3 linked regions of the Arabidopsis thaliana genome follow. The protein of the gene in region 1 interacts with the protein of each later gene in a biochemical or structural test. Each region holds a gene or a part of one and is shown in the gene's direction. Other genes may lie near its edges. The genes, in order: PPDK, AT4G01200 and AT3G21210.

Evidence for each region.
Region 2: of the proteins of PPDK (region 1) and AT4G01200, one has a biochemical effect on the other in vitro, tested with the Arabidopsis thaliana proteins (one study listed by BioGRID).
Region 3: of the proteins of PPDK (region 1) and AT3G21210, one has a biochemical effect on the other in vitro, tested with the Arabidopsis thaliana proteins (one study listed by BioGRID).

The regions. Positions count from the first base shown.
Region 1 is NC_003075.7:8,863,212-8,873,250, reverse strand, and holds PPDK (pyruvate orthophosphate dikinase), read left to right. Parts: upstream 1-2,379; 5' UTR 2,380-2,502; coding exon 2,503-2,775; exon of another isoform or gene 2,776-2,964; intron 2,965-3,931; exon of another isoform or gene 3,932-4,067; coding exon of another isoform or gene 4,068-4,076; coding exon 4,077-4,133; intron 4,134-4,241; coding exon 4,242-4,475; intron 4,476-4,842; coding exon 4,843-4,980; intron 4,981-5,074; coding exon 5,075-5,237; intron 5,238-5,316; coding exon 5,317-5,552; intron 5,553-5,629; coding exon 5,630-5,758; intron 5,759-5,842; coding exon 5,843-6,022; intron 6,023-6,265; coding exon 6,266-6,568; intron 6,569-6,648; coding exon 6,649-6,810; intron 6,811-6,887; coding exon 6,888-6,977; intron 6,978-7,069; coding exon 7,070-7,205; intron 7,206-7,277; coding exon 7,278-7,455; intron 7,456-7,534; coding exon 7,535-7,793; intron 7,794-7,878; coding exon 7,879-8,016; intron 8,017-8,093; coding exon 8,094-8,263; intron 8,264-8,377; coding exon 8,378-8,423; downstream 8,424-10,039. Other genes in the region: AT4G15520 (tRNA/rRNA methyltransferase (SpoU) family protein), read right to left, coding at 8,885-9,111, 9,287-9,413, 9,996-10,039. UniProt on the Arabidopsis thaliana protein: Formation of phosphoenolpyruvate. May be involved in regulating the flux of carbon into starch and fatty acids of seeds and in the remobilization of nitrogen reserves in senescing leaves.
Region 2 is NC_003075.7:503,654-509,320, reverse strand, and holds AT4G01200 (Calcium-dependent lipid-binding (CaLB domain) family protein), read left to right. Parts: upstream 1-1,694; 5' UTR 1,695-1,785; coding exon 1,786-2,538; 3' UTR 2,539-2,810; downstream 2,811-5,667. Other genes in the region: AT4G01210 (glycosyl transferase family 1 protein), read left to right, coding at 1-70, 166-354, 444-607, 704-853, 949-1,027, 1,128-1,583; PIPK10 (phosphatidylinositol phosphate kinase 10), read left to right, coding at 3,160-3,308, 3,398-3,560, 3,658-3,768, 3,849-4,036, 4,130-4,221, 4,311-4,358, 4,452-4,547, 4,631-4,739 and 1 more.
Region 3 is NC_003074.8:7,437,464-7,444,743, reverse strand, and holds AT3G21210 (zinc ion binding protein), read left to right. Parts: upstream 1-3,917; 5' UTR 3,918-3,987; coding exon 3,988-4,564; intron 4,565-4,665; coding exon 4,666-6,503; 3' UTR 6,504-6,780; downstream 6,781-7,280. Other genes in the region: AT3G21215 (RNA-binding (RRM/RBD/RNP motifs) family protein), read left to right, coding at 7-186, 266-341, 539-668, 785-899, 1,223-1,314, 1,431-1,500, 1,589-1,671, 1,769-1,871; PGR7 (proton gradient regulation 7), read right to left, coding at 6,899-7,156, 7,264-7,280.

The DNA.
Region 1 (10,039 bases):
TTCGAATATTCTAGGGACCCCATGACAATGAACTTTGCCCCATTCTAGCTTTGGTTTCTTCAGCTAAATCATTCATTCAACTGAAGAAAAGTTTCCAATTTTCCATTTGAACTTTCTTATCCAAAGATTGAGACTTTATATCTTCAGAGAACAAATCTTGGGAAGGGGATAGTGGATTTTCTCGTCACCTTGCAGAGAGATTAGCCCCAAATTATGAAACCTTTAATCAATAGTAACTAACCTGAAGCAATTGGAGTACAAAAATTAGACTAAAGCTTCGATTTTCAGTATCATCCAATATATTAGCATTAACCTTCACTAATCTCCGATATAGCAGATATGTTCAGCCGTGCGCGACGGCGAAACGAAACCAGAAGCTGGGTGGGTCTGAGACTCTTGACTCTCGAGTGTTTGAAATCTGTGTTTTTTTTTTCCATTAAAATAATAAAAATGGTTCAAAAAAATATACACAAAACGTCTACATTATCCCCAAAAATCTAAAAGTTCCTCAATTTTAATATGAGATTTTCTACTTGAAAGCACAACATTTAAGAATTACATAGTTATATATATTTCATTAAGAAAATCATTTATATCAACTAGAAATAATTCAACCAATAAGAAAAAATAATGCAGAATATTAGGAATCATAAAACATCAAATTGAATTAAATAAAGCATAGAAACTTGGAAACAAAAAAATCTAATGAATGAGAAAAAATTACTTCTTAATCATGTTACATAATGGAGAACAGATGGACTAATAATTTATTTTAATTAGAAAAAACCTTTTCTGTATAAACATTAAACAGTGATAAAAAAAACACTCGTTTAACTTTCTAAGATAATTGAATTGAGTGGGTCAAAAATATCCTGAAATATTAATCTCTAAAAATGTCAAAAAAACATATGCAAATATAAATATTTATATATGTTTTAAATAATTTGTAAGAAAATTGAACCATTGGTTGTAAAAATTTGAAAAAACAAATACTTTGAAGATATACCAATTTTTAGAAAAACACTGAAAAAGACTTAATTATTAAAAATATATTTTCTTCCATTAAATTTAATAGTCATTCACTTCATTTTATCATATATTTGATCAAATGATGGTTATCTCACCTAATTATCATTTATCAATTATCATCACCTAAATGATGGTATTGCAAAACATTGGACCGGCAGTCTGGCACGCAAGCGTTGGCTCACATCTTCCACGTAATTGCCACAATTTATGAGTCTTTGGAGTTATCTAATAGTTATACTCTAACCAAAAACATCACCAGAAAGTTCAACAGAGCATGGCACATAGCCACACACTCCCATAACATTTGGGTCCCTTAGTTAACTCGAGCATCAATGTATATGACACTTCCAGATTCTTCGGAAGTTCTAAGCCCTCTCTTTTCATTCTTTGAATGCTTTTTTTTTTACTGCCATGCGTGCATTTCCATAAATGTTACAAATTTTTGAAAAAATGGTCTCAAGTTATATAATATTCATGCTTGCTTCGTGAATTCCTTTGTCCGATTAGTAATCAAATGAGCGATTGAATTTTTTAAACCATTTTAAACTAATTAAGCCCCAATTAAACTTTAGTATGATTTACCCCCCCCCCCCAAAAGTCTTAACAGTTTAGATGTAATTGTATAAATTATTATAAGCATGTATCGCTAAGTTAATATTATAAACTTAATCAATAGATTAAGAAAAAATGCATTCATTATCTTCTTCTTTTTTCTCTTCAACATTCTTTTAATAACTTAACAAAATGATATATAAAAATGTATGCAACAGTATACAAACAAATTTTTGTAAATATATAGTTAAATTGTATACCACATCCCTCTCCTGGAACCTGGCTAGTCATATTCACACCGAGCAGAACCACAAATACTTTTAGGTTCCTACTCCATCAATCTCCTTTATTTCCTTAATATCTTAACATGTGGAAAACAAACCAAGCAACATCATTTTACCAATAAGATGGAGTTGAACTTAAGAAAAAGTTTTTTACTATTTGAAAATAAAACTATATACATATGACCTCATAATTTTGGAAACTGATTCTTATTCAAAACCTAACAACTTCTAGAGATCAATTTTAATGGTAGCCACTTATATGGTCGTTCAAAGGAAAAAGAACAACCGTGGAATGGACACATTAGCCAATCATAACCACATCTATCTTTCATCCACTCACGTCACTCGTCAAACCAAAATCTATAAACCTCCAAAAATACATAAAATATAAATAAAAAAATAGATCACATAAAGTCTACGTAACTAATAAGAACCAACAAAAATCAAATAAATTAGGATCAGAGAAGAAATTTATAGAACCGCCATTTCTACTCTCGCAAATAGCTAACCATCAAACACCAATTTCCATATCACGTAAGCTATATATATTTTTATTTTATACACTCCTTTCTCTCAACTTCTTTATTTTTATATACAACTCTTAAAAGTAAGTATATTATATTTATTTAAGTGGTTTATGCTTTATATAAGAAAGAAAATGACAAGTATGATCGTGAAGACAACGCCGGAGCTCTTCAAAGGAAATGGAGTGTTCCGTACGGATCATCTCGGAGAAAACCGAATGGTTAGTCGATCAAACCGGCTAGGTGATGGATCAAACCGTTTCCCTAGAACCGGTACAATCCATTGCCAACGGTTAAGCATAGCAAAGACCGGTTTGCATCGTGAGACGAAGGCTCGAGCCATACTTAGCCCTGTGTCCGATCCGGCCGCTTCCATAGCCCAAAAGGTAAGCCTTTCCATTTCAATCATTCTGGTGTATTTTCACCATAAAATTTTATACACTTTTTTATTACGTTTTGTTTTATGATTCTGACGTGAGATTCTTGAGAGAAACTATCACCGATCATTGGGTCGAACCATCTAGCAGCTCAATTATTATCGGTTATAACCCTACCGGTTATAGAATACAAAACAGGTTACGCCATTGTGACATTTGCTTTGTGATCTTGTGAGACGATTAATTATTTGATGTTGATTGGTTTCGTTACTCTTGTTTAAACAATCGAACGGTTCAAACTAATACACACATGTGATGTGAGATCATTTCGGTAGTAATACCAAATAGCGTCTGGCCTAAATTATGAAAGTACTATTTTGAATTAAATTATTGTGGAAACATGAACTTATTTAAATTCAAGTATTTTCGAAATTTGTAATAAAAAAAAACTTTTCCTCTAGATTCATTAGCCCTACTTTTCGTAGAAACAACTTTAATGTATTCAAAGACCACTTTGCTGCTTAAGTCAGACTCTTGTGCCACTTGGTAGATCCACCAATGCCACGTTTTGTTATTGTGCCAAAGAATACGTGAATATGTCCAAACGGCAATCAAATTCTTGGCGTAAAACACAAAAATTATGATACTAGTTTAAATCCACAATTCACCTTCACCATAAAGAATTCATGTATTAGAGATGGTATGACAAGAACTGGTTGAATTTGATGACATTTGTTTGCTATTGTTTTGGTTAAGTAAAAGTTTTGTTAAAAAGGAAAATAGCATCGGTAGTGGCAGATAGCAAGTGTGTGAGTGAGATCAGATATGGTTGACACATCTATGACGAGTCATCGCAACGAAACTTCTTTAATTTTGGTCAATTATATTACAATTTAGCATTTCGAGGTTGGAATTTTGGAATGATCTCTTGATAAGATAATAATGTATTTTTGATGACGTATCCATCAAAACTATAAATGATTTATATTAAATATGAAATTTCGACTGTATACAAGTTTTTATATTATAAAATTATTCGATGTACATATGATCATAATAATAATTATTTTTTATTTTATTTTATTTTTAGCTTAAATTATAAACATTATATTTAGCTTTTACATAATGGACATGTCAAATTTAGGATGGATAAATTTGATCAATTTATCTTTGTGCTTTAGACAGAATCTATTTTATCCAATTTTTGCTTTACTATATATATAGATACGTATATGTGTTCTTAAACTTGCACAAACATTTCTGCAATCTAAACCTCAATCAAAACAAACAAACAAAAAACCATGATGCAGCGAGTATTCACCTTTGGAAAAGGAAGAAGCGAAGGCAACAAGGGCATGAAGTCCTTGGTATGTTACCAATACCATCATCATGATCATATCAATTCATTAATAATTTAGTGTTTGCTATTTTCAAGAACCATTTATCAAAAATGTTAATTGTTGTTGTGTATGAAGTTGGGAGGGAAAGGAGCCAACCTGGCGGAGATGGCTAGCATAGGCTTGTCGGTGCCGCCGGGGCTAACCATATCGACGGAGGCTTGTCAGCAGTATCAGATCGCCGGCAAAAAGCTTCCAGAAGGTTTATGGGAAGAGATCTTAGAAGGTCTTAGCTTCATCGAACGTGACATTGGAGCTTCCCTCGCTGATCCCTCCAAGCCACTCCTCCTCTCTGTTCGCTCCGGCGCCGCCGTAAGTTAATTATAACTTTTTTTCTTGACTATTTTTATTTTAAGGATTTTTTCTAATGTTAAATTTCTGTTTTTTTTTCTTTCTATGTTTTCTTTAATCTTTTGAAGATTTTTTGACGCAGATTTTGACTTGTTAGATTTCTTTTATTGAAGTTGAGATCCAAATATTTTTTTGGTTATTTTGCCATTTGGCCGTTTTTGGAAGAGTTTAAAATGTACTAGATAGAAAATGAATAAGTTTTGTGGCTATTGAAAGACCTAATGATTTTGGTATTCAAACTATAACGTAGAAAATGAAGATCTTTCGTTTATCTATTTTTAAAACAGAACTACATTGACTTGTCTTTGATCGATATTTTGCATTGTAGATCTCAATGCCTGGTATGATGGACACTGTACTTAACCTTGGCTTGAACGACCAAGTCGTCGTTGGTCTGGCCGCAAAAAGCGGAGAGCGTTTTGCTTACGATTCGTTCCGGCGTTTTCTTGATATGTTTGGTGATGTTGTAAGTCCTCTGTTTTTCAATACTATTTCAGGTAACTTGCATGACAAGAAAATTCTTTGACCTACCTTATAATTGTTTTCTTGATCAATAAAAGGTGATGGGAATTCCACACGCCAAGTTTGAAGAGAAGTTAGAGAGAATGAAGGAGAGGAAAGGAGTTAAAAATGACACTGACTTAAGCGCGGCTGATCTCAAGGAATTGGTTGAGCAGTACAAGAGTGTTTACTTAGAGGCCAAGGGTCAAGAGTTTCCTTCAGGTTTGTTTTGATTCCTACTTGAGGTCAAGTGATAAAAATTAGTTATTAGTTACAAATGTTTAAACGGGGTTAATTGCAGATCCAAAGAAGCAATTGGAGCTAGCGATTGAAGCGGTATTCGATTCTTGGGATAGCCCGAGAGCGAACAAGTACAGAAGTATTAACCAGATAACTGGATTGAAAGGAACCGCGGTTAACATTCAGTGTATGGTGTTTGGAAACATGGGGGACACTTCAGGGACTGGTGTTCTCTTCACTAGGAACCCTAGCACAGGAGAGAAGAAGCTTTATGGCGAGTTTCTAGTTAATGCTCAGGTTTGGCATCTATCACAATGTGTGAATCTCATATCAACAAGTAAGCCCATACTCATTAAATATTGGTTTTGGGACAGGGAGAGGATGTGGTTGCAGGGATAAGAACACCAGAAGATTTGGATACAATGAAGAGATTTATGCCTGAGGCTTACGCTGAACTTGTTGAGAACTGCAACATCTTAGAAAGACATTACAAAGACATGATGGTTGATACACATAAACAATACTTCAATTAGTCCTCATCAACAATTCTTTAGTAATTTAAACAAAATCTCAAATGTGTATTGCAGGATATTGAATTCACAGTACAAGAAGAGAGATTGTGGATGCTGCAATGCAGAGCGGGTAAGCGAACGGGTAAAGGCGCCGTGAAGATAGCAGTTGATATGGTAGGTGAAGGGCTTGTTGAGAAATCTTCTGCTATCAAAATGGTGGAGCCTCAACATCTTGATCAACTACTTCACCCACAGGTACAAACTCAAATATTCATCTTCTTCTTTTTTCATAGTCATAAACTTGATGTTGAAACCAAAATTCGAAACTTACTGGTAATGATTGGTTCACTTGAACAAGAACTAATGGGTTTAAGACGTTTAGGGTTTAGGAGTAAAAGCAGAGATGATTGTCTGACACGTAACCGATGAATAGGGTTTGGAAATTTTGATTCAGAGGTCAATGAAGGTTTTTTTTTTTTTTTTTTATTGATGGATTAGTTTCATGATCCATCGGGGTATCGTGAAAAAGTGGTGGCCAAAGGCTTACCTGCGTCACCAGGAGCGGCGGTTGGACAGGTTGTGTTCACGGCGGAGGAAGCCGAAGCTTGGCATTCTCAGGGTAAAACTGTGATTCTGGTTCGAACTGAGACAAGCCCTGACGATGTGGGAGGTATGCACGCAGCGGAAGGTATATTGACGGCTAGAGGAGGAATGACGTCACACGCGGCTGTTGTTGCTCGCGGTTGGGGAAAATGTTGCATTGCTGGTTGTTCCGAGATTCGTGTCGACGAGAACCACAAGGTTTTTGGATTCGATTTTAGAAACTTGTCATATAAGTTAGGGGAAGATTGTTTCTAAAGTTAGGGTTTAAAAATTTTCAGGTTCTATTGATTGGAGATTTGACGATTAATGAAGGCGAATGGATCTCAATGAACGGATCAACCGGTGAGGTTATATTAGGGAAACAAGCATTGGCTCCTCCGGCTTTAAGTCCAGATTTGGAGACTTTCATGTCCTGGGCTGATGCAATCAGACGTCTCAAGGTGTTTATGAGTTTCTGTTCCTTTAACTTGTTTGATATTTTTAAACTTTCTAACTCAAATGTTCGATGACCGATAAGGTTATGGCGAATGCGGATACACCTGAAGACGCCATTGCAGCTAGGAAAAACGGAGCTCAAGGAATCGGGCTTTGTAGGACAGAGCATATGGTAACTCCTCCTCTGTACTTGATTTCATGTTTTTGATGATTTAGATTGTTTGTATCCAAATGTTTAATGTTGTCTTTGGTTTGGTTTTTAAGTTCTTTGGAGCAGATAGGATTAAAGCAGTGAGAAAGATGATAATGGCGGTAACAACAGAGCAAAGGAAAGCTTCTCTCGACATCTTGCTTCCTTACCAACGTTCGGATTTCGAAGGGATCTTCCGTGCTATGGATGGTAAATGTTTTGAGTCGTCTCTCTAAAATGTATCACAACTTAAAACATGCCTAAACCTTTTTATTTTTCTAGGTTTACCGGTAACAATCCGTTTGTTAGACCCTCCGCTTCACGAGTTTCTCCCGGAAGGCGACTTGGACAACATTGTACATGAGCTAGCTGAAGAAACTGGTGTGAAAGAAGATGAAGTCTTGTCACGGATAGAGAAACTCTCTGAAGTGAATCCAATGCTTGGTTTCCGCGGTTGCAGGTTTCTTACTCTCTTTGTTTCTCTCTGTCTCTTTGCACCTGAAGAACAATCTGATGATCGGTAAACTTGTACGTTATAGGCTCGGAATATCGTATCCAGAGCTAACGGAGATGCAAGCGCGTGCAATTTTTGAAGCTGCAGCGTCAATGCAGGACCAAGGTGTTACTGTCATTCCTGAGATTATGGTTCCACTTGTAGGAACTCCTCAGGAATTGGGTCACCAAGTTGATGTAATTCGTAAAGTTGCAAAGAAAGTATTTGCTGAGAAGGGTCATACCGTGAGCTACAAGGTTGGGACAATGATTGAGATCCCTCGAGCCGCGCTCATTGCAGATGAGGTAAATGTAACAAGACACAAAATGTGTTTTAGGCACTTGAAACCATGTTGCTATTTGCTAAGTAGGAACCTTTTTCTTTTGACAGATTGCGAAAGAGGCGGAGTTTTTCTCGTTCGGGACAAACGACTTGACGCAGATGACGTTTGGATACAGTAGAGACGATGTCGGCAAGTTTCTACCGATTTACCTCGCCAAAGGAATCTTACAGCACGACCCTTTTGAGGTATAATGACTACCATTTCGTTTGCTCTCTATCCATAGGATAAAATCTTGATAGCCATTTTTTTGTGTTTGGACCAGGTTCTTGATCAGCAAGGTGTAGGGCAATTGATCAAGATGGCGACAGAAAAAGGACGAGCAGCTAGGCCTAGCCTCAAGGTTGGGATATGTGGAGAACATGGAGGAGATCCATCTTCTGTGGGATTCTTTGCTGAAGCAGGACTTGACTATGTCTCTTGTTCTCCTTTCAGGTAATTGATTAATTTCCAAACCAATAAACACTTTTTTTACAACACTATTGTATAACTCAGATTGATGTAATTTTGGGATTTCTGTTGTTGTTGTTGTTGTTGTTGTTGTTGCAGGGTTCCAATTGCAAGGCTTGCAGCTGCTCAAGTAGTTGTTGCATGATGAAGAAAAAACTTGGTGGTGTTATTCTGTGAATAAAAAAGCTTTGGTTTCTATTCCATAAAAATGAACAAAATCAAAGATATTGGATTTAACTATTTTTGTTTCCTTCTAAAGAATGTAGAATATAAAGCCTTCATGTAATAATTGAATTGCTAATAAAATAAAAACCATTGTTTCTAAACAGAATACATGAGGAAGACAATGTAAGACAGCGTAATGAGATTCTATCAACTGAATCATTTTCAAACATGTTCATAATCATAGTATCATACCAAAGGCAGATCAAATAATCAAAATCAACTTAGCCTAATTCATAAGCTTTCTCAACTTGCGAAACAAAGATTCGGTAACTAGGGAATGAACAAGCGTGAGTAAGCTAACTTGCTTGATAATATATATTGAAGGATGTGTTTCCCAGGATTGGAACCCAAATCAAGACTTTGTTCTTTTATAAAAGATAATTATTCGTTAAGGAACAAACCGTCCAAAAGGTCGGATGATGAACTTCCATTTTCATTTCCATTGTCATCGAAAAACCCATTTTCTGCACTTTCTTTCCTCAACTTCCGCTCTTCAATGACGGATTCTTCTGTGCCGGCGCAGAAATTTCGTCTTCCTTGTCTTACGGGTCTATCAGCCACTATAAATTTGCTTCCATCCCGAACACGTTCAGAAAATCCAGCCCAAACTGTAATAGAACAATACTATTCTTAAGCAACCAACACTATCAATCTATCTTTAATGTCTATACATGACTAAGAATTCGTGCCGAGTTATTATTCTCTACAATCTTGCTTTCCATCTAAGTGTTTTCAAATCTTAAACAGCATATAAAAAATGGGAACAAAAACAGAAAAAAATACCTCCAAAGTGATGCAAAACAATAGAAGCTGCAACAGTAACATTCAAAGAGGCAGTGCCACAGCCATACTGAGGAATATATACAAAGAAGTCGCATATTTCGTATTCCTTCGCAGATAATCCTGATCCCTACAGAAGCCCAAAACTTGGTCCTTTAGTAACAATTTGTTCAAATCTTGAATGCTTATAATTACCATTTAGCTAATGGCAGAGACCAACAATCATTGAAGCCAAAAAGATTAAATGGGCAATAGTCTCCAGACAAAATAAAAAGAGTTAGAATCGCATAGGGAGAGGATTACATAAGAAAGCTCGAGAAGTCAATTAACTTTGAGATAAGTAACTTCACTACAATCTCTGGTGTTGTAAAATTTGTTTCAAACCATTGAAGTTTCTGTTATCTACTTGTTCCCTCATTACTGTTAACAGATGAATTTTACTAAAGATCATGTAGCACACTGTGTTTTGAAATAAAGTGAGATCCATATTCAAACTGAAGAAGTAAACTAACTCTCACATTAGTAAGTGAAGATACCTAACTAGATTCCAGTTTCTTGAATCAGAAAACGTCTTTCAAATCACTGAAATTAAGCTCACAGATGAAGTGTAATAGAGATTATGATCTCATACCAAACAAAAGTACCCAAGTTCACAAAACTAACCAAAGTTGCAACACTCAAAAGTTTTGTAAAAACCAGATCTTTTGATTACCTCATTACCGAGAAGAAACGCAGTGTTTCTTTTGAAAGGATGTT
Region 2 (5,667 bases), 8.4 Mb from region 1:
TGAACCCTATTTTGGTGAAGGAACCTGGTCGTTTCTACATCAAGATCCCCTCTATCGTGGGGTTGGCCTGGTGAGTTTCCATGTGCAATATAGTGTTTTTGCAACCATAAGATGGTCCAAAGGAGAGAAATTGTTCTCAACTGATTTGAATGTATCATATTGCAGTCAGTTAAAGGACGTAGACCTAGGATGGATGATGTCGATGCATCATCACGTCTTCCGCTTTTCAACAATCCGTACTATCGCGATGCTCTTGGTGACTTTGGAGCTTTTTTTGCAATCTCAAACAAGATTGATCGGTTACACAAGAATTCATGGATTGGGTTTCAGTCCTGGAGAGCGACTGCCAGGAAGGTAAACAACTTTTTCTTATAAAATCCTTCATCCTTTGTATAGTAGAATGCTAAAATTACCCTGTGATGTAATGTGGGACTTTGAAACAGGAATCTTTATCCAAGATTGCTGAAGACGCATTACTTAATGCTATACAAACACGAAAACACGGAGATGCCTTATATTTTTGGGTTCGCATGGACAAAGATCCCAGAAATCCTCTGCAGAAACCCTTTTGGTCGTTCTGTGATGCCATAAATGCTGGGAATTGCAGGTAGAAACACTAGAGATTTTAAATCATAATTTTATAATAATGTTTGAGACTTTGGTCATTTACCTGACTCTTTGCAATTTATGGGCTTGGATCAAGGTTTGCTTACAACGAAACTTTGAAGAAAATGTACAGTATCAAGAACTTGGACTCATTGCCACCAATGCCCGAGGATGGGGATACATGGTCTGTGATGCAGAGCTGGGCATTGCCAACAAGATCCTTCTTAGAGTTTGTCATGTTCTCAAGGTACTTGTTTACCACATTACCCATTGATTGTCTCAGTCTTAGCCTCTTTGGAGAAAGAAGAGTGCTTAAGAGTGTGTTTTCCCATCTGTTTGTAGGATGTTTGTGGATTCACTAGATGCACAGATATATGAAGAGCATCATCGAACAAACCGTTGCTATCTGAGTTTAACCAAAGTAAGAAACTCATTCCTTCATCTGCGAAAGTTCATGTGTTTTTAGATCTAAATCAGATCAGTCCACTTGGGTTTGGATTTATGTGTTCAATTTCTCACAGGACAAGCATTGCTATTCGCGGGTACTAGAGCTTCTGGTGAACGTATGGGCTTACCACAGTGCAAGACGCATTGTCTACATAGATCCTGAGACTGGTTTGATGCAAGAGCAACACAAACAGAAGAACCGGCGAGGGAAAATGTGGGTGAAGTGGTTCGATTACACAACTCTGAAAACAATGGACGAAGATCTAGCTGAAGAAGCCGACTCAGACCGTCGTGTGGGTCACTGGCTATGGCCATGGACTGGCGAGATCGTGTGGCGCGGTACATTAGAGAAAGAGAAGCAAAAGAAGAATTTAGAGAAAGAGGAGAAGAAGAAGAAGAGTCGAGATAAGCTGAGTAGAATGAGAAGTAGAAGTGGTCGTCAGAAAGTGATCGGAAAATATGTAAAACCACCGCCTGAGAACGAAACTGTTACCGGAAATTCCACTTTGTTAAATGTAGTAGACGCATAAAAGAAAACAAATTAAAATTGCTTCTTTTTTTGTTAGGTCACTAATTTGTTTCATTCATTGTTTTTGGAAAGATTACTGTATAAAAGGTCTCAAGTCTCATTCATTCACTCTCCCTCTCTCTTCTCACCTCTCTTCGATTTAACCGACGGCTTAAATTCTCCGGCGGTGGAGCTTCACTGTGAACAACAAAGAAAGAGAGAAGATGGAGGAGACGCAAGTTCTTGAGATCAATCTCATCTCTGCGCAAGGACTTAAAGAACCGACGGGAAAGCTCCGGCGATTGCAGACTTACGCATCCGTCTGGGTTGATTCTTCCAGCAAACTCCGGACTCGAATTGATCGGATCGGCTCTGAGAATCCGATCTGGAACGACAAATTCGTTTTCCAGGTATCGCCGGAGTTTCTATCTAGCGAAACTTCTGGTGTTTCAATCGAGATCTACGCCGTTGGTTACTTGCGAGATCATCTGATCGGAACTGTTCGCTTCCTCGTGAGTAACTTCCTCCCAACCGCCGCCGTGAAAGTTCCATCTCTCGTCGCGCTTCAGATCCGTCGTCCTTCTGGAAAGTTTCACGGCGTTCTTAACATCGCGGCTATGGTGATGGATGCTTCTGAACTTCCAGCTGATTTCTTCAAGTCGGTTCAAGAGATCCGTCGGAGTCGGAAAATGAGAAAGTCTAGATCTGCGGTTAGTTCGTCGGAGAACGGTTCCGCTGACGACGGTGAGAGTTCGAAAGAGAATTCGGTTTGCGGATCGGTTAATTTCTCCGACGACGGTACTGACTCGACGGCGTCTTCTCCGATGCCGTCTCCTCTCAGAGACTGGAACGCTGTTCGAAATTTGGCGGGAAAGAATCACGTGCGATCGTCATCGGACGGCGGAGGATTGATGTGCTGTTTCTTGATGAAATCGTCGGGCATGTTACCACCAAGAAGAAAAATGACGGACGGCTGAGATCTGTTGTCTTGAATTTCCAACGGTTCAGATGTTCCTTTGGTTTTCTAAACCATCGATCTTCGTCACGTGCATCTCTGTCAACGGTTCAGGTCTCCTTATCCCTTACGTCGTCGTTTAGGCAGTTTTGGCGGTTATGAGTGTTAGTTAACAAACAGTTTGGAATTTCTTTAGTTCTAGTTGCTCAAAACATTATATTCAATAATTGTTGTTTCGTTTTTGAACAATTAAAAAATCTTTTTGATATGAAATAGTAATAATTCGTAGATCACAGAAAAAAAGTGTAGTAAAAATTATGTAAAAAGTGAAAAAAAAAAAAACGCGGGAAGTCGTTTATGAAGTTTTGAGGAGATAATTGTTAGTTTAACGGCTGGATTAGTTAAAACCACTAATTACGTCCTACCAGAAATAACAAAATCATCATCTTTTATAAAAAAATCAATCACTCTCTCTTGTCTTCTTCATCTTCTCTGTTTGTGCCTTCCTCTTTATCAGAAATTGCAGCTTGTACGAAAACAGGTAAATCTTCATATACGTAGAGCAATCAAATTTTTAGTTTTAAGGTTTTTTATTAAGTTCATAAATTTATGATTTTGCTATGATCTATTTAGGGTTTAAATTATGGCAAAGTTTACGAGATTGATAACAGCCATGGAGCTGAGAGCCACGGTGGAGAATCGAATTCGATACTCTACAAAACACATTAAACACTTGCCACCTGGCTCAATCACTGAGTTTGATTGGAAGGATTACTGTCCCGTTGGTTTCGGGTACGTACGTAATAACATAGTTTCATGTTTTAAGGTAAAAAAAAGAAGAGAATTGGTTTTTGTAATGTTTTTTTTGTTGTTGTTTGTAGACTTATTCAAGAACTTGAGGGTATAGATCATGATGATTACTTGCTATCCATTTGCACTGATGAGACTCTCAAGAAGATTTCTTCTGGGAAAATTGGAAATGTCTTTCATATTTCCAATGATAACCGTTTTCTCATCAAGATTCTTCGAAAATCCGAAATTAAGGTACCCCAAAATCATCTTAACACAATCTACTTTTAATTTTTTCAAGTGTGTATATATGTTCCATATTGAGTCTTTCATTGAAAACAATCTTGTGAAGGTGACACTAGAGATGCTTCCACGTTACTACAGACATATTAATTATCACAGATCATCACTATTCACAAGGATTTTTGGTGCTCATTCTGTGAAGCCTCTTGGAGGTGTTAAGGTGACAAGGATTATATATATATACCACTCCATTATTAGAGTTTGATCAGCCACTAATTAGTTACTTTTTTGGGGATACAGACATATTTTGCTGTGATGTCAAACATGCTACATTCAACGATCTTTGTGAACAAGCTCTATGATCTTAAAGGTTCTCCGAAAGGTCGATCTAACAAGAAAATTGAAGTGAGAAACACCACTGTTTTGAAGGACATCGATTTCGATTTCTGTTTCTACGTTGATCCTTTGGCGAGACAACGCATCATCAAGTACTATCCCACCCCCACCCCTCTTTCTTTCTACCATCTTGATTCTAGTTACTCAACAATTTATTAAACACAAAAGGGGTCATCTCATTACAGGCAAACAAAGCTAGATTGCGAGCTTTTGGAAGAAGAAGGTATAATGGATTATAGCTTATTGGTTGGTTTACAATCTAAAGGCTCATGTCAAGGTAATGTTTCTTCTCTCTTCTTAGGAGTGCAACTATTTGCATATCGACTTTGAACTTTTCTGATCATAATAATAAATCACTCTTAACAGGTTCACTTGATGGATTGAACCCGGTTTACGGTAGCTTCGCACCTCCAAGTAAAAAATCCTTACCAACATTCTTCATTCTTTTGTTTTATGTTCTTATATACCAAGTCTTCAACATAAATGTCTACCGATTAAATTTTTCAGGCTCGTTCAAAAGCAATAGCACAAAGTCGATGAAGACGGCTTCTAGTTCTCCTGATAGATCTTCTGTAGCAATGTATTCATGCTCTCCCGATAGAGGTAACAATGTAACTTTTTAATCTAATTAATCATAGTACTTAACAAAAATTACAATTTTTATAAACTTATTGTCTTACTAACAGATTCAGTCGAAAACGAAATGTCAATGACTATACAATCAGTGACAAGCAATAGCGCAAGCTCAGAAACAAATATATTAGCCACAACACTCAGTGACCTCTTTCACAATAGGTAAAGCATTATCCTACTCCTATATAACAACATTGCTAGAAATTTCACATCAAAAAAAATATATATATATATCTAACTTTTCTTGTTTCAGCTCAAATATCAATTTTGGGATGAAGATTCCAGCGAGGGCACGGCGAGTGACGAGAGAAACCGGAGAAGAAGAATGGTACAATGTTGTTTTGTATATAGGGATAGTAGACACATTTCAAGACTATGGTATGAAGAAACGCATAGAACATTGTTACAAATCCATTCAATATAACTCAAACTCAATCTCAACCGTCCATCCTAAGATCTACTCTTCTAGATTCCAAGACTTTGTCTCCAACATCTTCCTACCTCACGACGATGATCTCTCTTCGAAATATTGAGTTGTTTGTTATTTTTGATTTCCAAGTGGAATTATTAGAGTGTTAAGAGGTACACTTCTTACGACCCAAGTTGGTGTTGGTGTTTGTTGTCCAAAAAATCCTCTCTTTTCTGACTTCATTGTTGATCGATCAACAAAATGTAGAGAAAAACATGAACTATTAATACACATATATCAAAAATATAAAATACAGAAAAAGACAAAACCCAAAATAAAAAAAACCCAACATTGTTCTTGGTTCAACACAAAAGAAAAAACCAATCAAACCAAGTCAACCCTTTAATTAAAACTTTCAGTTGGAACATATATATCTCTGTTTACTTTGTTTTGTTAATCACAAAGCAGCATTTAGAACACTTACAGAGATTAGTCTTGTATGTCTACATTGTTACTCTCTTTAGATCTCTTAGAGATTAGGTTTAGCCAGTTCAACGTTTTTCTCCTTAATCTCTAAATAATTCTTCTGTTACAACATTACAACATATTTAATATCTTATTATCCTTAACCTAACAACTTTTATACTAAACAAAACAAAGCCATTTCTATTTGGGCTTTAC
Region 3 (7,280 bases), on another chromosome or scaffold:
GTTCAGCTGCGGACAATCTTCATCGCAGGGCTTCCCGATGATGTAAAAGAGAGAGAGCTTTTGAATCTCTTGAGATGGTTGCCTGGTTACGAGGCTTCTCAGGTGAACTTCAAGGGAGAAAAGCCCATGGGGTTTGCTCTTTTCTCCACAGCTCAGTTTGCAATGGCAGCCAAAGATACCCTTCAGGTCTGTCTGCTTCTGATCATTGTTGACTCAGATCCTTTTTTGTCTTCACATTATGACATATGTTGTTCTTGGCATGCAGCATATGGTGTTTGATGCTGAGTCAAAGTCTGTGATACATACAGAGATGGCCAAGAAGAATCTTTTTGTTAAAAGAGGTTAGCTCTACCTTTATGACATAAAATGGCTGTATTTTATCTATCTTAAGCATTAGTCATGTTACTGAAGCATGTTTGATACAGTTTTGTGCATTTATACGGGGTCTCACTACACTCTCCCCTTTATCTAGTTTCTTACTTCCTTTGTTAATATCACAAACCATATATAACCTTTGAACTCAATCTTTATTCTGTAGGTATTGTTGGGGATTCAAATGCTTATGATCAAAGTAAGCGCCTACGAACTGGTGGTGACTGCACACACTCTGTGTATAGTCCATCTCCTTTCCATCCTCCACCTCCTCCTGTGTGGGGACCTCCTCATGGGTTAGGCATTTGCTTCTCCTTCATATTTCATATGCTGTGTAGAAATTGGACGATGTGTATTTGGTACACCGTTTTATGTTAAGTTGCTTATTTGACAAGAAGATAAATTGGTTCAGATATATGGCACCTGCACCTCCACCATATGATCCCTATGCAGGTTATCATGCTCCCCCTGTACCAATGCCTACGCCCCCACCTATAGCAGCTCCTAGTTCTTATGTGCCTGTCCAGGTGAAGTTGCACTGTTTTCATCATTTTATTTATCATATGGTGGTTGTGCAATTATATACCCGGAATCCATATTGTACTTGCCTCTCCTTGCCTAAAAATTACAATCTCGAACTTCATTCTAATTAGCTTACATGCTATACTCTCTGGTGGTTGTGTTGTGGAACAATAGTTGTTGCCTAATTTAAATGCATTGTCTACTGCTCTGAATTTGCTAAAGTTTCTGATTGTTTGATAAATTTTGTACCTAGTTTGATGAATATCTAGCCTAGGTTTGGTGATCTGATATATGTCTCATGTTGTTTTCAAATTTTTTTCAATTGCAGAATATTAAGGATAATCCACCTTGCAATACCCTATTTATTGGTAATCTTGGGGAGAATATAAACGAAGAAGAATTGAGGAGCCTGTTGAGTGCGTGAGTATCTGTTCCCTTTAGTGAGACTCCTGTCCATTGCTTTCCTTGAGATCTTGGCCTTTTTGTAGACCTGTGTTCTCAAGAATTCTGCGGTAAACTGTACTTTCATTTTGCAGGCAACCTGGTTTCAAACAAATGAAGATTCTGAGACAAGAAAGGCATACAGTTTGCTTTATTGAATTCGAGGTTAACTCTGAGACCTTCACCATCTGTGTATATGTGACAGAAAATATTCTTCTAGCATATTGTTAAATTCTTCTATCTGGACTTGCAGGATGTCAATAGTGCCACAAATGTTCACCATAATTTGCAAGGTGCTGTCATTCCAAGTTCTGGTTCAATTGGCATGAGGATCCAATATCCTTATATACTTTTACTCTTTCTGATTATTTAATATTCCAGTATGCCAAGTTCTTTTTTCTTTTCTGTTTGATTCTTCTTAACCCAATGATACATATTCAAAGAATCCATATGGGAAGAGAAAGGAAGGTGGCGGCTATTCTTTCTTTCCTTCTCCGAGTGCTAATGGAGCCCAAGGAGCCCTGACATATCAGTAGGCCTTGAAGGGGGACGTACTCTCTTCCTTATCTCCCAACAACTGCACGAATACGATGCATCTTCCAGGCAGTCTGCATTTCATCCATTTCCATTCTCGACATTTTTAAGCATCAGCATTGCTTTGTCATGTGTTGGGTGCATATAGTGTGACCTCATCAACATATAACATGTTTCAGTTTCTATTAGCTCTGCTACATGCATTCGCAGTGTGGTTTTTGATGATTGTTTGAATTATATAGGAGTTTGGTTTGCTATTTGTTTATCTTATTGCGGCTTTAATACATCACTTTGTGGGATTCATTTTCATCATTCTGATCGATTCATCCTAATGAAACGTTAGCTAGGAAAAAACATAACATTACATTAGATCATAACATGATAACATCCGGAGGCCTTCCATCAACTTCGTTTCACTGCATGGACACGGAATGTTGCTCTCATGATTGATTCATCCTAACGAAACTCCATTTGCTATGTTAGCTGATATACCATTACATTAGATCATAACATGATAACATCCAGAGGGGTTTGATCAACTTCGTTTCACTGCATAGACATGGAATATTACTCTCATGATCTATCACATCGGTTTCATTCTTCAGCATTTCCCATGTCGATCATTCTCTGTTCTTACTTAGGCTGATGAACAAGCACATCCGTTTTGTCAGAAGTTGACAGCTGATATAACATTTGAAGATAGGCATTCCATTACATTGTAGGTTTATTATAGTTGAGCAAACATATATACATTCCCAGCTCTGGCTTGGCCTTATGCAGGGACAATCCGTAAAGAGAAAGCCCAAGCTCTCGAATAGAGATGCGTTTCACCTACAAAGTTGAGGTAAGGTCATCTTCGGACGTCCAGGAACAGAGCCAGGAGTTCCTAAGAGCCTATCTTTTTACAATGGAGTCTACTTATCCAATCCAACTTATCTCTTTTCTAACTGATGTTTCTGTACGGCTTTGGGCTACTTGACTCTGGATGTGAAAACCAGAAGCGAATTTAGTGATTCTTCAAATGAGAAAGTTTCTCTTCCATTTTCAAGAACAATGTGTGTATAATTGGTCGCTTACTTATCAGATTTTGAGGTATAGGATCTCTAGGGCCTAGTTTCATGTTTTGTTTCTCTGAATTCGAACCATGGTAAATTTGCTGTAAAGAGAGGTAGGTAATATAATTAACCCAAGAGACAACCCAAGAAGAATCGATAAAGGAGTGTCTCAACTCTCAAGTAAGAAACATGTTTTCATTATTATGATTGGCGAGTCTCAAGCTTTCATCACTGTAGACAACAAAGAAAAAGATTTGTTGCACAAAAGGGTTTGTGCATTCCTTAGACCAACTTTCCAGAGAAGCAAAACATCTAAAACCACAAAACCATGGTCTTAAAAGAAAATTCTTAAACGTCAGGTGTGTCTGAGCGCAGAACTGTCAAGAAAAACAAGATAAAGAGTTGGGAGGTTAATAAAAAGAAGAAAAAAAATATAAAACGGAACTGAGAGGTAAAAGATTGAAACCCCTCTTCAAGTTGTTCAAGTAAAGATCATCAAGCAAAAGGTAGAGATGTCGATCAAATTGGTGGAACAAACGCACGGAGAGGGAGGAGAATCGTGAGTAACGTGCCTGGTTTCTGAGGCTTTCCATCGGACCATTTTGGAGAGGGAGAAGTGAACCTTGTCGCGATTGATTGTTTCAGCTTTGAATGGTTCTTTGAGACGGATATACGCCGTCCCCATACTCGTTCTCAGCCCATTTTAGGCCTTTCTGAATTAGGCCCAAATACGTTTACGTGTTTTTAGAGGAAAACTTTCAACGTGCATGTCAAAGACAAATTGTTTGTTTATTTTCTCATCAAGCAAGACAGAGACTACTATTTTGCTTTTTTTAAAAGAAAACGATGTAGCATTTTCCTTGTCGAGAAGCTAAGGAAACCTGACAAAAATGCAAGGGATAACAAACGCATTAACCAAAGTATAATTTTTTACAAGCAAAGAAACATTTGCACAAAACCCATAAATATAAACCTCATTATCCCATAATTAGCAATGCTGCATAACACATAATTTAAAAACCCTAAGAAAAAAATCGGAAGTTTGTGGAAGCAAGAAGAAGAAATGATGAATCCAGAATCCGATCATCCTTCATCTCCTCGTCAACGTAAGATTGGAATCGCCGTGGAGCTCTCTGAAGAAAGTGCCTTCACTGTTCGTTGGGCTGTTGATAACTACATCCGTCAGGGAGACGACATCATTATTCTACACGTCTCTCCAACCGCCGGTCTCTTTGGAGCCGATTGGGGATATTACCCTCTCCAAACTCAACCTCCTTACACCACCGCTTCTATTTTCTCCAAAGTAGCGGATCTCGGGAAGCCATTGAAGGAAGCTGGATTCCCTCACACGATTCATACAGTCAAAGATTACGATAAGAGAGAGAGGCTTTGTCTTGAGACTCAACGGCTCAATCTCACTGCTCTGATTATGGGATTTGGTGATGGCTCTGTTAGTGATTTCTGTGTTCACCACTGTGTTTGTCAAGTCGTTGTGGTTAGATACCCTGATGGTCCTGGCAGTGTTGAAGGTACTCGGGCAGCGCCTATTGTAACTTTCAAATCACGTACGGATGATGACGAAGAGATAGATAAGGCTAAGACTGCTCTGACTGCTTCTGTTCATCATCAACACATCAAAGGTTTCTTTCCTTGTGGTTTTCATATTTACTTGCAAAGCACTCTATCTATCCATCATAAAAAATTTCATGTCCTCCTTTTTTTTTTTTTTTTTCCGTCTTAGCCATGGATTCGGTGTCAAAGCAGCCTCTTCTCTTTTGCCCTCGTGCATATTTTACTAACAATGAAGAAGATTTTCGCGCGATGCAATTCCGAGAGCCACCAAATCTTTCATCTCCATCTTTTCACCTCACCTCCTTAGTTTTGGGCAACGACTTTAACATAACACGCAAATACTACTACGACAGACATGGCAAGGGCTTCATTAAAGGCCATAGACCTAACAAACAATGTGAAATATGCTCCAAGTCATTACTCGGTACCACGTTTTATTCCTGCACGTTATGTCTCCGTCCTTCATGTTCCCCTCTTCAATCTTCAGTATTATCACGCTCTTCAGGCTACTACCACGAAGCCTGTATCGAGCCGATATCAAAGCACCCATATCATCCTAAACATGCTCTCCGATTTCGTTATGAATCAGGTCAGATATGCTTATCTTGTTCAACTTTTAAGGATTTTGCTTACCATTGCTCTATATGCAATTTTACCATGTGTCAAGATTGTGCTAGAGAGCCACCACTCTTTGCAATAGACTATCCAAAAAGGCATGAGCATACACTCTTCTACTTTCAAAGGAAAGGCTCCTTGATTTGTGACGTTTGTGGGTTGAGTGATGGCAGGTCTTTGCTGTATTCCTGTGTCAAGTGTAATTTTGTAGTCCATAAAGAGTGTGTCTATTTTCCATGCATCATAAAAATATCACGTCATGAACATCGTCTCTCCTTCAATTCTTCACTTACTCCTGAACAATGGTTATGTGGAGTGTGTCGTGAAAGCATAGACACAAATTTTGCAAGATATTCTTGCGTAAAGGGTTGCAGTTTCGCGGTTCATTCTAAATGTGCAACGCGAAAAGATGTATGGGACGGAAAAGAACTTGAGGGAGAACCAGAAGAAGATGAATCTCTATATATTTTTAAGTCGTTCAATGAGATAAGTGATGGAATTATAGAATATTTTCGTCACAAAAGTCATCATATGAGACTGGACGAGGATACCAACAGAGCATTTGACGAGGATAAACGTTGTCGAGCATGCACGTTTCCTATCTGTGATGATCTTATTTACAGTTGCATGCAATGTGATTTTATCCTCCATCAAACATGTGCACATCTTCCTCCGAGGAAACAACATGCGACACATCCTCATCCCCTTCTTCTACTGGTGGATGAGGAACATGAAGATTATTTTCAATGCACTGCTTGTAAGCGTGAAAGCAATGGTTTTGCGTACACATGTTGTGCTAGGGATTGCAACTTCACATTAGACGTATCTTGCGCTTCTATAGCTGAGTCATTGATTCATCGGTTTCATCCGCATCCTATTTATTTAATACATGAATCCACAGCGCAAGAGTTCTGTTCGATTTGCGGACAACTCATAGGTCATCGTCTAAACTGTGGAGAATGTCGTTTTGCTTTGTGTTTTGGGTGCGCCACTTTACCCAATAAGTTGAGGTATAAGCATGATGAACATTTTCTCATATTTTCTTATGATGAAGACTTCAGTGGTTCACAAGAAAGTGGTCCGCATTTGTGTGAAGTTTGTGAAAAACAAGCAAATCCGAAGAATGGAGTTTATATGTGCAATGATTGTAACGTCACACTGCATGTTGAATGTCTTCTTGGAAAGGAGATGTATATGATGCCTATTGGAGGGCTCATTTCCCGTAACGTAAATGTTGATATTCTTCCCAATAATCGTCTCACTCGCAACATATGCCAACGTTGCCATAATCGTTGTCAAGGAAAAATAATCTTCAAAGCACGTGACAGATCAACATTTTTATGTTCTTTGTTTTGTTGTCTGACGAAGAGTTGGGTGGACAGAGACACATAGTCCAAACGAAACGATTATGGCAATAGAGTTATGAACATACTAGATCGTTGTCGGTAATAGAGTTATGGACAGCTTGCTTAAGACGTTGGTTTGAAATAGTAGAAAGCTAAAATGAAAATTTCCTTGATTACGTTATTACTTGTTCTTGTCTCTTTTGCTGAACATAGAGATATGTTGCTCTTTTCTATGTATCTATTTGCTTTCTCTTTCTCTTTGCTTCCTTCTCATAACTAATGTTTATTTGGGGCATATATATATGAACTTATATATAAAAAAAGATGACAAACATTACTTCAAGTAAACATATACTATTCCACGAGAGCCAATGCACAATTTTGGCATCAACTTGTAAATAAAGAATAATGGGGACAAGCAAAAAAAAGTCATTAGTATTGTTATTGTCCTCCTCCCTTGTGAGAATGAGATGATCCCACAACTTGCTTAAGTAGTTTGACCTTGTTGAAATCTGCAGGGCAATAGCTTTTCTCTACTTCCCAAGCGAGCTGTGACATTCCATTGAAGGATGATTTTGCTCCCTTTTCATCTGTTACTTCCATTGGAAATGGAATCCTCACATCATATACACCTCGTGGAGACCATACCCGAAGGTCGAATCCAAGCCTATCCATCCATATCATCTTTGTTTCTGAAACCTGGCATTAGTAGTAGTTTTGGTCTTGAGATTGGTAATCGACTGAACATGTTATCTTAGATTGAACATTCTTTGAAGTAGTTGCATAGCATGTTGAATAATACTAACCACAAAGTCTAGATCCA